Daphnia pulex: one gene and its partner. The protein of the gene in region 1 interacts with the protein of each later gene in a biochemical or structural test. Links are inferred from orthologs where the notes say so. Each region holds a gene or a part of one and is shown on either strand. Other genes may lie near its edges.

The links. The genes of interacting proteins can lie anywhere in the genome.
Region 2: the proteins of trifunctional enzyme subunit alpha, mitochondrial-like (region 1) and trifunctional enzyme subunit beta, mitochondrial-like are reported together in a solved structure, tested with the Homo sapiens proteins (2 studies listed by IntAct, with this or other methods). The link is inferred for Daphnia pulex from reciprocal best matches to the Homo sapiens genes HADHA and HADHB.

Annotation. Positions count from the first base shown.
Region 1 is NC_060020.1:8,451,017-8,455,100, forward strand, and holds the start of trifunctional enzyme subunit alpha, mitochondrial-like, read left to right. Parts: upstream 1-1,234; 5' UTR 1,235-1,308; intron 1,309-1,396; 5' UTR 1,397-1,561; coding exon 1,562-1,625; intron 1,626-1,808; coding exon 1,809-2,021; intron 2,022-2,084; coding exon 2,085-2,171; intron 2,172-2,251; coding exon 2,252-2,340; intron 2,341-2,401; coding exon 2,402-2,652; intron 2,653-2,714; coding exon 2,715-2,919; intron 2,920-2,980; coding exon 2,981-3,156; intron 3,157-3,216; coding exon 3,217-3,384; intron 3,385-3,481; coding exon 3,482-3,704; intron 3,705-3,778; coding exon 3,779-3,978; intron 3,979-4,046; coding exon 4,047-4,084. UniProt on the Homo sapiens protein: Mitochondrial trifunctional enzyme catalyzes the last three of the four reactions of the mitochondrial beta-oxidation pathway.
Region 2 is NC_060022.1:3,662,740-3,667,069, forward strand, and holds trifunctional enzyme subunit beta, mitochondrial-like, read left to right. Parts: upstream 1-1,500; 5' UTR 1,501-1,611; coding exon 1,612-1,660; intron 1,661-1,841; coding exon 1,842-2,025; intron 2,026-2,083; coding exon 2,084-2,271; intron 2,272-2,337; coding exon 2,338-2,700; intron 2,701-2,758; coding exon 2,759-2,889; intron 2,890-2,950; coding exon 2,951-3,083; intron 3,084-3,150; coding exon 3,151-3,233; intron 3,234-3,293; coding exon 3,294-3,444; intron 3,445-3,510; coding exon 3,511-3,599; intron 3,600-3,817; coding exon 3,818-3,862; 3' UTR 3,863-4,024; downstream 4,025-4,330. Other genes in the region: all trans-polyprenyl-diphosphate synthase PDSS1-like, read left to right, coding at 1-114, 177-266, 344-475, 548-742, 816-1,037; 39S ribosomal protein L32, mitochondrial-like, read right to left, coding at 4,085-4,207, 4,287-4,330. UniProt on the Homo sapiens protein: Mitochondrial trifunctional enzyme catalyzes the last three of the four reactions of the mitochondrial beta-oxidation pathway.

The DNA.
Region 1 (4,084 bases):
AACGAACGAATATACGTTGGAAGTTTTATAAAATGCAAGCAAGAGGAAAAATATTTTTCAACGTAACGCTATTCAATGTTATTTTTGAATTTTGTATTCTTTCATGATTCAGAAAAATAATTTACGTGCGTCATATGGTTACACAATAGACAATTCAGCTATTGGCTCCTGCAGCAAGGGGGGGGGGGCGTTGTAGTAGGTGGTTAACTGGTTATTGAGTGTTTACTCTTTATTTTAAAACGTCATTCTAGTTGGCATTTTAATATTTTCTTTGGACGTTAAGTCTCAGACTTGACAATGTTCCCTACCCGAGTCGAATGAAAGCTTCCCGTTCTAGTATCGGAATTTAAAAGTTATTAACAATAACATATTTACTTTAACATTTTGTATGTCGCTTTGACAAAATTAGTTTTTGGTTTCGTGTAGTGTAGTTACTAAAACGAGAAACTACAAGAACTTTTTTAATCTGACACTAGAAACGGCACTAAAACGGAAAAATTTCCGGGCCGACCCCCGACACTAGAACTTATTTTATTTATTTTATCAAGCGACAGTGGAACGGAATACGGATATAATTGAATTTTTCTAACACTAAAAAATTAATCTAAAGAAAATATTAAAATACTAACTGGAATGACGCTTCAAAAGTAAACACCTATAAACGCCAACGCCAAAAGCCAACGAGCCCCCTATCGGCAGGGGCCAACAGCTGATTGTTTATTGGCTCGCTCCCGGATTCCGGAGGCCAATAGATTTCTCAATGTACGATTCAAAAGAAAAAGAAAATAGATTTGACCACCAACAACCTTTCAGCAATAAATTAACTGACAATTCCCCTTACTGTACACTAAACTGCTGGACAAGACCCCTTTCACAGGACAACATTTACTTGTTTCAATTAAGCCCCTGTCGGTATTTCTGAAATGTTGTCTCACGTTTCACGTATACGTCATTCATTGTTAACTTGTAATACATAGTGAATCTGAGAATGACAAATAAATAATTGTACCTTTTCAATAAAAATTTATCCTAAACACATGATTTCTTTTAGGGCACACTTTATAAGAAGACAGACCGCTATTCACTTTTGCCTCTTCGACAGCAGAACGTTTTTCACTATGACACTAGTTTTGGCTTCTTGGCTCTTGCTATTTTGCTCTAATCAGATGTCTGTTGTGATTCGTTGATGAATTTTTGAAAGGAATTTTCTGATTGGTGCACTGCTACACACACACCAGAGTGCTCTCGCCTAGACGGAAAGCCGGAAAACCAAAAAATCTCTGTTCCTTAACAAACCGTGCTAAATATGTATTACAACATTCTCTATTGTCGCATGTTTAATTTTTTTTGGGATTTTTTTGTTTATCAATTATCAATAAATTCCTCGATTACACAGAAATTACAGCGCACGCCGTTTGGCGACGTTTTTTTATCAGTCGCTGGGCCCGGTGCTTTGCAGACGCCAAACGGGTGTGTTAGAAACTAATTTACTACCGCAGTACCGGCTACGTTTCTTATTCATTTCTTGTTTCCTCTGCGGGAAATCAATTTGCGATCTGTGATGGCTACCAGCAGATTAATTTCCATTTCCAAATTTGTAAGCTTTCCTAACAACCTGCCATTGGGTAAGTGAAGACCTCAAAATTATGTCGTAAAAAACTAATGGCACCTTCAGTGTTCATGCAAACACTATGAGTATTTAAAAACAGACTGATTATTTCGATCTGTCTTACTCTATTTATTATAATGTGCAGAGTTACCATGTGAAATAAATATTTTTAGTATTTATATATAACTTTGCAACATAGGCAAGTTTTCATTACGTCATCTTTCAACATCAAGAAGGTGTGATGGTTATGTACATACCAAGTACGAGGTTAAAAATGGAATCGCCATTGTCAAACTTGACTCTCCAAACTCCAAAGTCAACACACTCAATGTTGAAACCATGACTGAAGTCAAAGAGATCATGGACATGATTACTAAAGATACAAATGTGCAAGCCACTGTGTTGATGTCAGGTACTTTTTCAAAAGCCTGTTGTTGTACATTTTTGTGTTATTAACCAAATTTTAAATCATCAGGAAAACCAGGTTGTTTCATCGCTGGAGCTGATATTTCAATGCTCCAGAAATGTAAAACAGCTGAGGAAGCTTCTCAGCTTTCAAAAGGTAATCACTTGAGCTAGGTCTTAGTTGTTTAATTGTTTGCTGTTTAATTTTGAAAACTCATGCAACCTCTACTTTTTTAGCTTGTCAGGATTTGTTGATGGAAATGGAACACAGTAGAAAGCCCATTGTAGCTGCAATCATGGGCAGCTGTTTAGGTGGAGGACTTGAGGTCAGATTATTACAGTTGTATGAATCAAAATTGTCTCATAATCATCAATGTAAATGTTTAGGTTGCCATGGCTTGCCATTACAGGATTGCTGTGAATGAGAATAAGACTGCTTTGGGATTACCAGAAGTACTTTTAGGTCTCTTGCCTGGTGGTGGTGGTACTCAACGCCTTCCGCAGTTAACATCTCTTCTTACTGCTCTGGATATGATCCTTACTGGCAAAAATGTCAAAGCAGACAAAGCTAAAAAGCTTGGTCTTGTTGATCTGACTGTGCAGCCATTGGGCCCAGGATTAGATAAACCTGATCATCAGTAAACATTGCCAAAGAAAAAATATGTTTGTTTTATTGATTGTTATACTTTAATTTTTTTAGAACTTTGCAACATTTAGAAGAAGTAGCTGTACGTACTGCTGGAAATTTGGCCTCTGGTTCATTGAAGGTTAAACGTGAAAAACCAATCACTGATCGTTTATTTGCGGCTGCATTGAAGTATAACCTGGTGAAAGATCAAATTTTTCAAAAGGCCAAAGCCAAAGTAATGAAGCAAACAAATGGGCTGTACCCAGCACCTCTGAAGGTAAAATAAAATAATGCATCATTAGAATACCTTGTAACTTTTGAGTGAATGTTGCTTTTAGATTCTAGAAGTAATTAGAACAACTTTAGATAAAGGATTGGAAGCTGGATATGCTGCTGAAAATCAAGGTTTTGGACAACTGGCAGTCACTAAGGAATCACGTGGATTAATTGGTTTATTTCATGGTCAAACTGAATGCAAAAAGAATAGATTTGGGAAACCAATTTTGCCGACGAAGTAAATATTTTTTAATAAATTATTCCAGTGTATAATCTTTATTACTTCGAATGATTCTAGGACTATTGGGATAATAGGCGCTGGCTTAATGGGTGCTGGTATTGCCCAAGTTTCTGTTAAAGGATTTGATGTTTTGCTTAAAGATGCTGTACCTGCTGGTTTATCTCGAGGCCTAAATCAAGTATATGCGGGTTTAGACAAATCCATGAAAAGGAGAAAAATTACCAGGTATAAAATATTGTTTTGTTTCGTTTTTTTTTTTTTTTTTTTTTTTTTAATTTCATTGGAGAATAACAAAAGGTAAACATAATTTTTTTATTATCAGTTTTGAGCGTGACCGTATTGCCTCAAACTTAACGGGTACCCTAAATTACGATGCGTTCAAAAATTGTGACATGGTTATCGAAGCTGTGTTTGAAGATTTGAGCCTTAAACACCGTGTTGTCAAAGAAGTAGAAGCGCTCATCCCAGAACACTGTATATTTGCCACGAATACTAGTGCCTTACCAATTACAAAAATAGCAGAAGCCAGCAAGCGTCCGGAAAAAGTAATTCGAAATTAATTAAATGGCTTTAATGCATACATATTAATTTAATTAATGTATAATTTTTGGGGGAATAGGTCATTGGTATGCACTATTTTTCTCCAGTCGATAAGATGCAACTTTTGGAGATTATAACAAATCCCAAAACATCGCGTGATACAATTGCATCGGCCGTTGACGTGGGACTACGACAGGGTAAAGTCGTTATTATAGTAGGGGATGGTCCTGGTTTTTATACTTCACGTGTACTTTCATTCATGATGGCTGAAGCTCACAGGTAGATGTTTAAAAGTGTTTGTGCTCATTTTGATTTCCTTTACCATCAAACTACTATTGTTTATTTAGACTTCTTCTAGAAGGAACTGATCCAAGGAAGATTGATA
Region 2 (4,330 bases), on another chromosome or scaffold:
GCACAAATTGTCGAAATGATTCATACAGCCTCTTTGGTTCATGACGACATGATTGATGCGGCTGACAGTAGGAGAAACAAATCCTCTGTGAACAAAGTTTGGGGCCCAAGAAAGGTGACAAAAGTCAACATTTTCGAAACATTTTCCCTTTTTTTTTAATAATTCCTTTTTTATAGTCGATCGTAGCGGGTGATTATGTGTTTGGGCGTTCGATTGAGATGTGCGCTGCAATCGAAAACCACGAAGTTTATAACTTGATAACTAAGGTAGTAAAAACGATAACGACGATTCATTCATTCAAATCTTCAGAACGCGAAGCTAATTCTTATAAACAATGATGCAGATTGTTTCTGAATTGGTTAGTGGAGAACTAATGCAACTCGACGGTAGCGCAAACGCAGAGGAGAGGTTCGAGCACTACCTGGAAAAAACCTTTAAGAAAACCGCTAGTCTGATTGCTAATAGCTGCCAAGCAGTACGACATTCCTTAAAATCATTAGAAAAATATAAGATTCTTTAATCGATCAGAATAATTGTTGGTATCAAGGTTTCGGTTCTCGCTGGAGCTAGCTCAGCTACACAAACAAGCGCTTTTCAATTTGGTCGGCAACTGGGAATGGCATTCCAATTGGTTGACGACTTGTTGGATTTTGTTTCCACTTCTGCGCAACTGGGGAAACCAGCAGCAGCTGATCTACGCCTTGGACTGGCCACTGCTCCAGTTTTGTATGCTGCACGGAAGGTACGCAGGACTGGTTGGTTCAGTTTTGCCAAGTTTTCGAAACTTTCTAAAATGATACAACTATTGATTTTAGTTTCCAGAGCTTAATGCGCTTATTCTAAGAAGATTCAAAGAGCCAGGAGATGTTGAAACCGCCTTCGACTTAGTCCTTCGTTCTGACGGATTACAGCGAACTAAAGAATTGGCTGGCCAATATTGCGATGACGCCGTGACTCAATTAGCTCAACTATCGCCATCGCCTTATCAACAAGTTTTATTTACATTGACCCACGAATTATTGAACCGGATGAAGTAAGGATCGAAAAAAAAAAAAAATACTAACCAATCACAACAATATTCAAATACTTCTCGTGTTGGGTAAATTTTATTGCGATTTCCATTTGTATAAATGAACACCCAAATATTGGAGGGAAATAATCATATAAACGAAATAAATACTAATAAAGTGAAAGAATAAAAAACTAAGTATAATTGTAAATCCTCACTACATTATATTTTTTTAAACGATAGCAAAAACTGTTAAAGGCTGAAATTAAAGTATCAAAGTTAAAAAGAAAAATATTTCCCCATAAGAATTTAAATTATGGATTCCAGAATTAGCTCTTATTGCACACAGCAAAACAAAAACTCGTTTCCAATTGCAGTCCAGTCAGTCTACGATCCTATTTGCATACTCAAATTTGGAGCTTTTGATTTTCCCACTCAATTTCTGAGTTGCCAGTTTGTCAAATACAAAATAGTTCTCGAAAGCCAGTTATCCCCACTGCTCACCGGAGAGCGCTGACATCGTTGCTAAAGCAAATTAGCAAACACGAGAAAAAGCAAACAGCTGTAGGTGTTCTGCATCCATAAGATACTCTCGTTTAAGGATGGCTGCCCAAATTTCTCGTGTAAATGCGGTTGCATTTCTTCGAACAGGTAAAAATTAACAAAATGCATTTTATTTTAGGGCGTGTATTTTTTCTCAGTTTTGAAATCACATTAGTGTTTCGCCATTTCTGTTTTCATTTTCCTAACGTCGGATTTTCGTCACAGTTGTGATAACTGATAAGTCACTACCGGTATTTTAACTGTTTTATTTTTCCTAAACCTTCTCAAGGAACGCGCAATGTTTCCACCGGAATGCCGGCCCTTTACGCGGCTAAACAGAAAACCAAACTTTCATTAGCCAGACCTAACCAAAAGAATATTGTGTTGGTTGATGCTGTGAGAACCCCGTTTTTGCTGTCTGGGACAAGTTATGCGAAACTTATGCCTCATGATCTGGCCCGGAATGCATTACTGTATGTATTTCAATGCAAATAATTTTCCTTTGATAATGTAATAAGCAATTACTTACAGGGGTTTGGTTCAGAAAACTGGGCTTCCCAAAGAGCTTGTTGAATACATTGCTTTTGGCACTGTGATACAAGAAGTCAAAACTTCAAATATTGCCAGAGAAGCTGCTCTTGGAGCTGGTTTCTCTGACAAGACACCAGCTCATACAGTCACAATGGCTTGTATTAGTTCAAATCAAGCCATGACAACTTGTAAGTGTTCCCTTTTGTATTGTCAGGATATTTCTGATTCTTACGGTTGATTCTTGTATTAACTAGGCATTGGTTACATGCACTCCGGAGTCTACGACGTTTGTGTAGCTGGTGGCGTTGAGTTTATGTCGGACGTACCCATTCGTCATTCCCGCAAAATGCGCGGCGTCATGCTCAAAGCAAATAAAGCTAAAACATTCGGTCAACGCCTCTCACTACTAGCTCAGCTTGATATGAAGTCTTTGATTCCTGAGCTTCCAGCTGTAGCAGAATTTTCTACCGGTGAAACAATGGGTCACTCTGCCGATCGCTTGGCTGCTTCGTTCAACATAAGTCGACAAGATCAAGACGCTTTTGCTCTTCGTTCACATCAGCTCGCCCACGATGCAGCTGAAAAGGGCCTACTTTCTGATATTGTACCTTATCAAGGTATGCACGTCTTGATTTTCCTAGTTCTTACCGTGCTTACATTTTTATAAATCGATAGTCCCTGGCCAAGATAAACCCATCACTGGCGACAATGGTATCCGAGTTTCTACATCTGAACAACTTGCAAAACTAAAGCCAGCTTTTATCAAGCCTCACGGAACAGTGACTGCAGCAAACGCGTCTTACTTGGTACGTTTTGATAACCTTATTGTGTGTTTTAACTGTTGCTAATGCGAAATTTTTCTGTCAGACTGATGGTGCTTCGGCATGTTTGCTGATGACCGAAGAAAAGGCTAAGCAGTTGGGACTGAAACCCAAGGCTTACCTAAGAGATTTCATTTACGTCAGTCAAGACCCGAAAGACCAATTGCTGTTGGGTCCTGGTATGTAGGATATGTAGTACTCACTTAATTTTATAGTATAATTAATTAATAATTAATAATTTTATAGCATATGCTACTCCTCGCGTCCTGGACAAAGCTGGACTAAAGATGAGTGATATTGACGTGTGGGAAGTCCATGAAGCTTTTGCTGTAAGTGTTGATTTTCATGTTCATGAATCGGATAATCTAATATAATCCACGTCTCTGCAGGCTCAAATTTTGTCCAATCTAAGCGCAATGGATTCGGATTGGTTTTGCAAGACCTACATGGGTCGACCTGGTAAAGTTGGTGCTCCTGATATTGACAAGTTCAATTTATGGGGTGGATCTCTTTCAATTGGTCATCCATTCGGAGCTACAGGTTTTTCCACAATTTTTTTATCTTATTAAAATATTGTCGGTGACGTTTTCCATTATTGATTTTTAGGAGTTCGACTGGCGATTCATGCGGCCAATCGATTGATTCATGAAGACGGTAAATACGCCTGCATTGCTGCTTGTGCCGCAGGTGGTCAGGTATGAATGAAATTTATTTATTTTGGAACACTACGGCACTTCGTAATCCACCGGTGGGGATCGTCATGTATTTACTGCATATGGATTCTTCCCAGTGCGATCTTGACCGTGCCAATAGAAAAGAAATCCAACTCTCAGGGTTCCAGATGTTGCGAGTTTCCATTTTGGAACAGTATATGTTGGGTACAATTTTTTATGATATCTTTTATTTGTTGCAGGGCGTTGGAATGATCATTGAACGGCACCCAGATGGCAAGTTATAAACCAGTCTTATCCACAAGAGAATTAAAAGCAAACTGCAATGCAATCTTTCATCCAGCTCTCATTTCGAGTGCATTCTTTAGAAAACTATATGGGCGATTTTTATTATGTAATATCGCCTTATAAACGATTTTTTATGATCGAATAAATGGTGAAATAGCAAATTTTTTGACCAAAATCACTTTATTTTCTAAACACTATTCTAGGTCTCACACAAATAGAAATTAGCCTAAATCATGAGGCTTTATAGTTGAAGTTTCAATGGTAACATTTGCATTTGATTTCTGAAGCAGATTTTTACTAAACCATTTCGGTCGAGGTTTCTCCACTTCAATCACTTTGTTATCCTATAAAAGAAAAAGATATTGATGAGGAAAGTTTGAAATTAATATTACTCTACATTATTATCTAATAGTTAATATATACCTTGAAGAATTCATCATTGAATTGATTTTTCTCTCCTTGATATA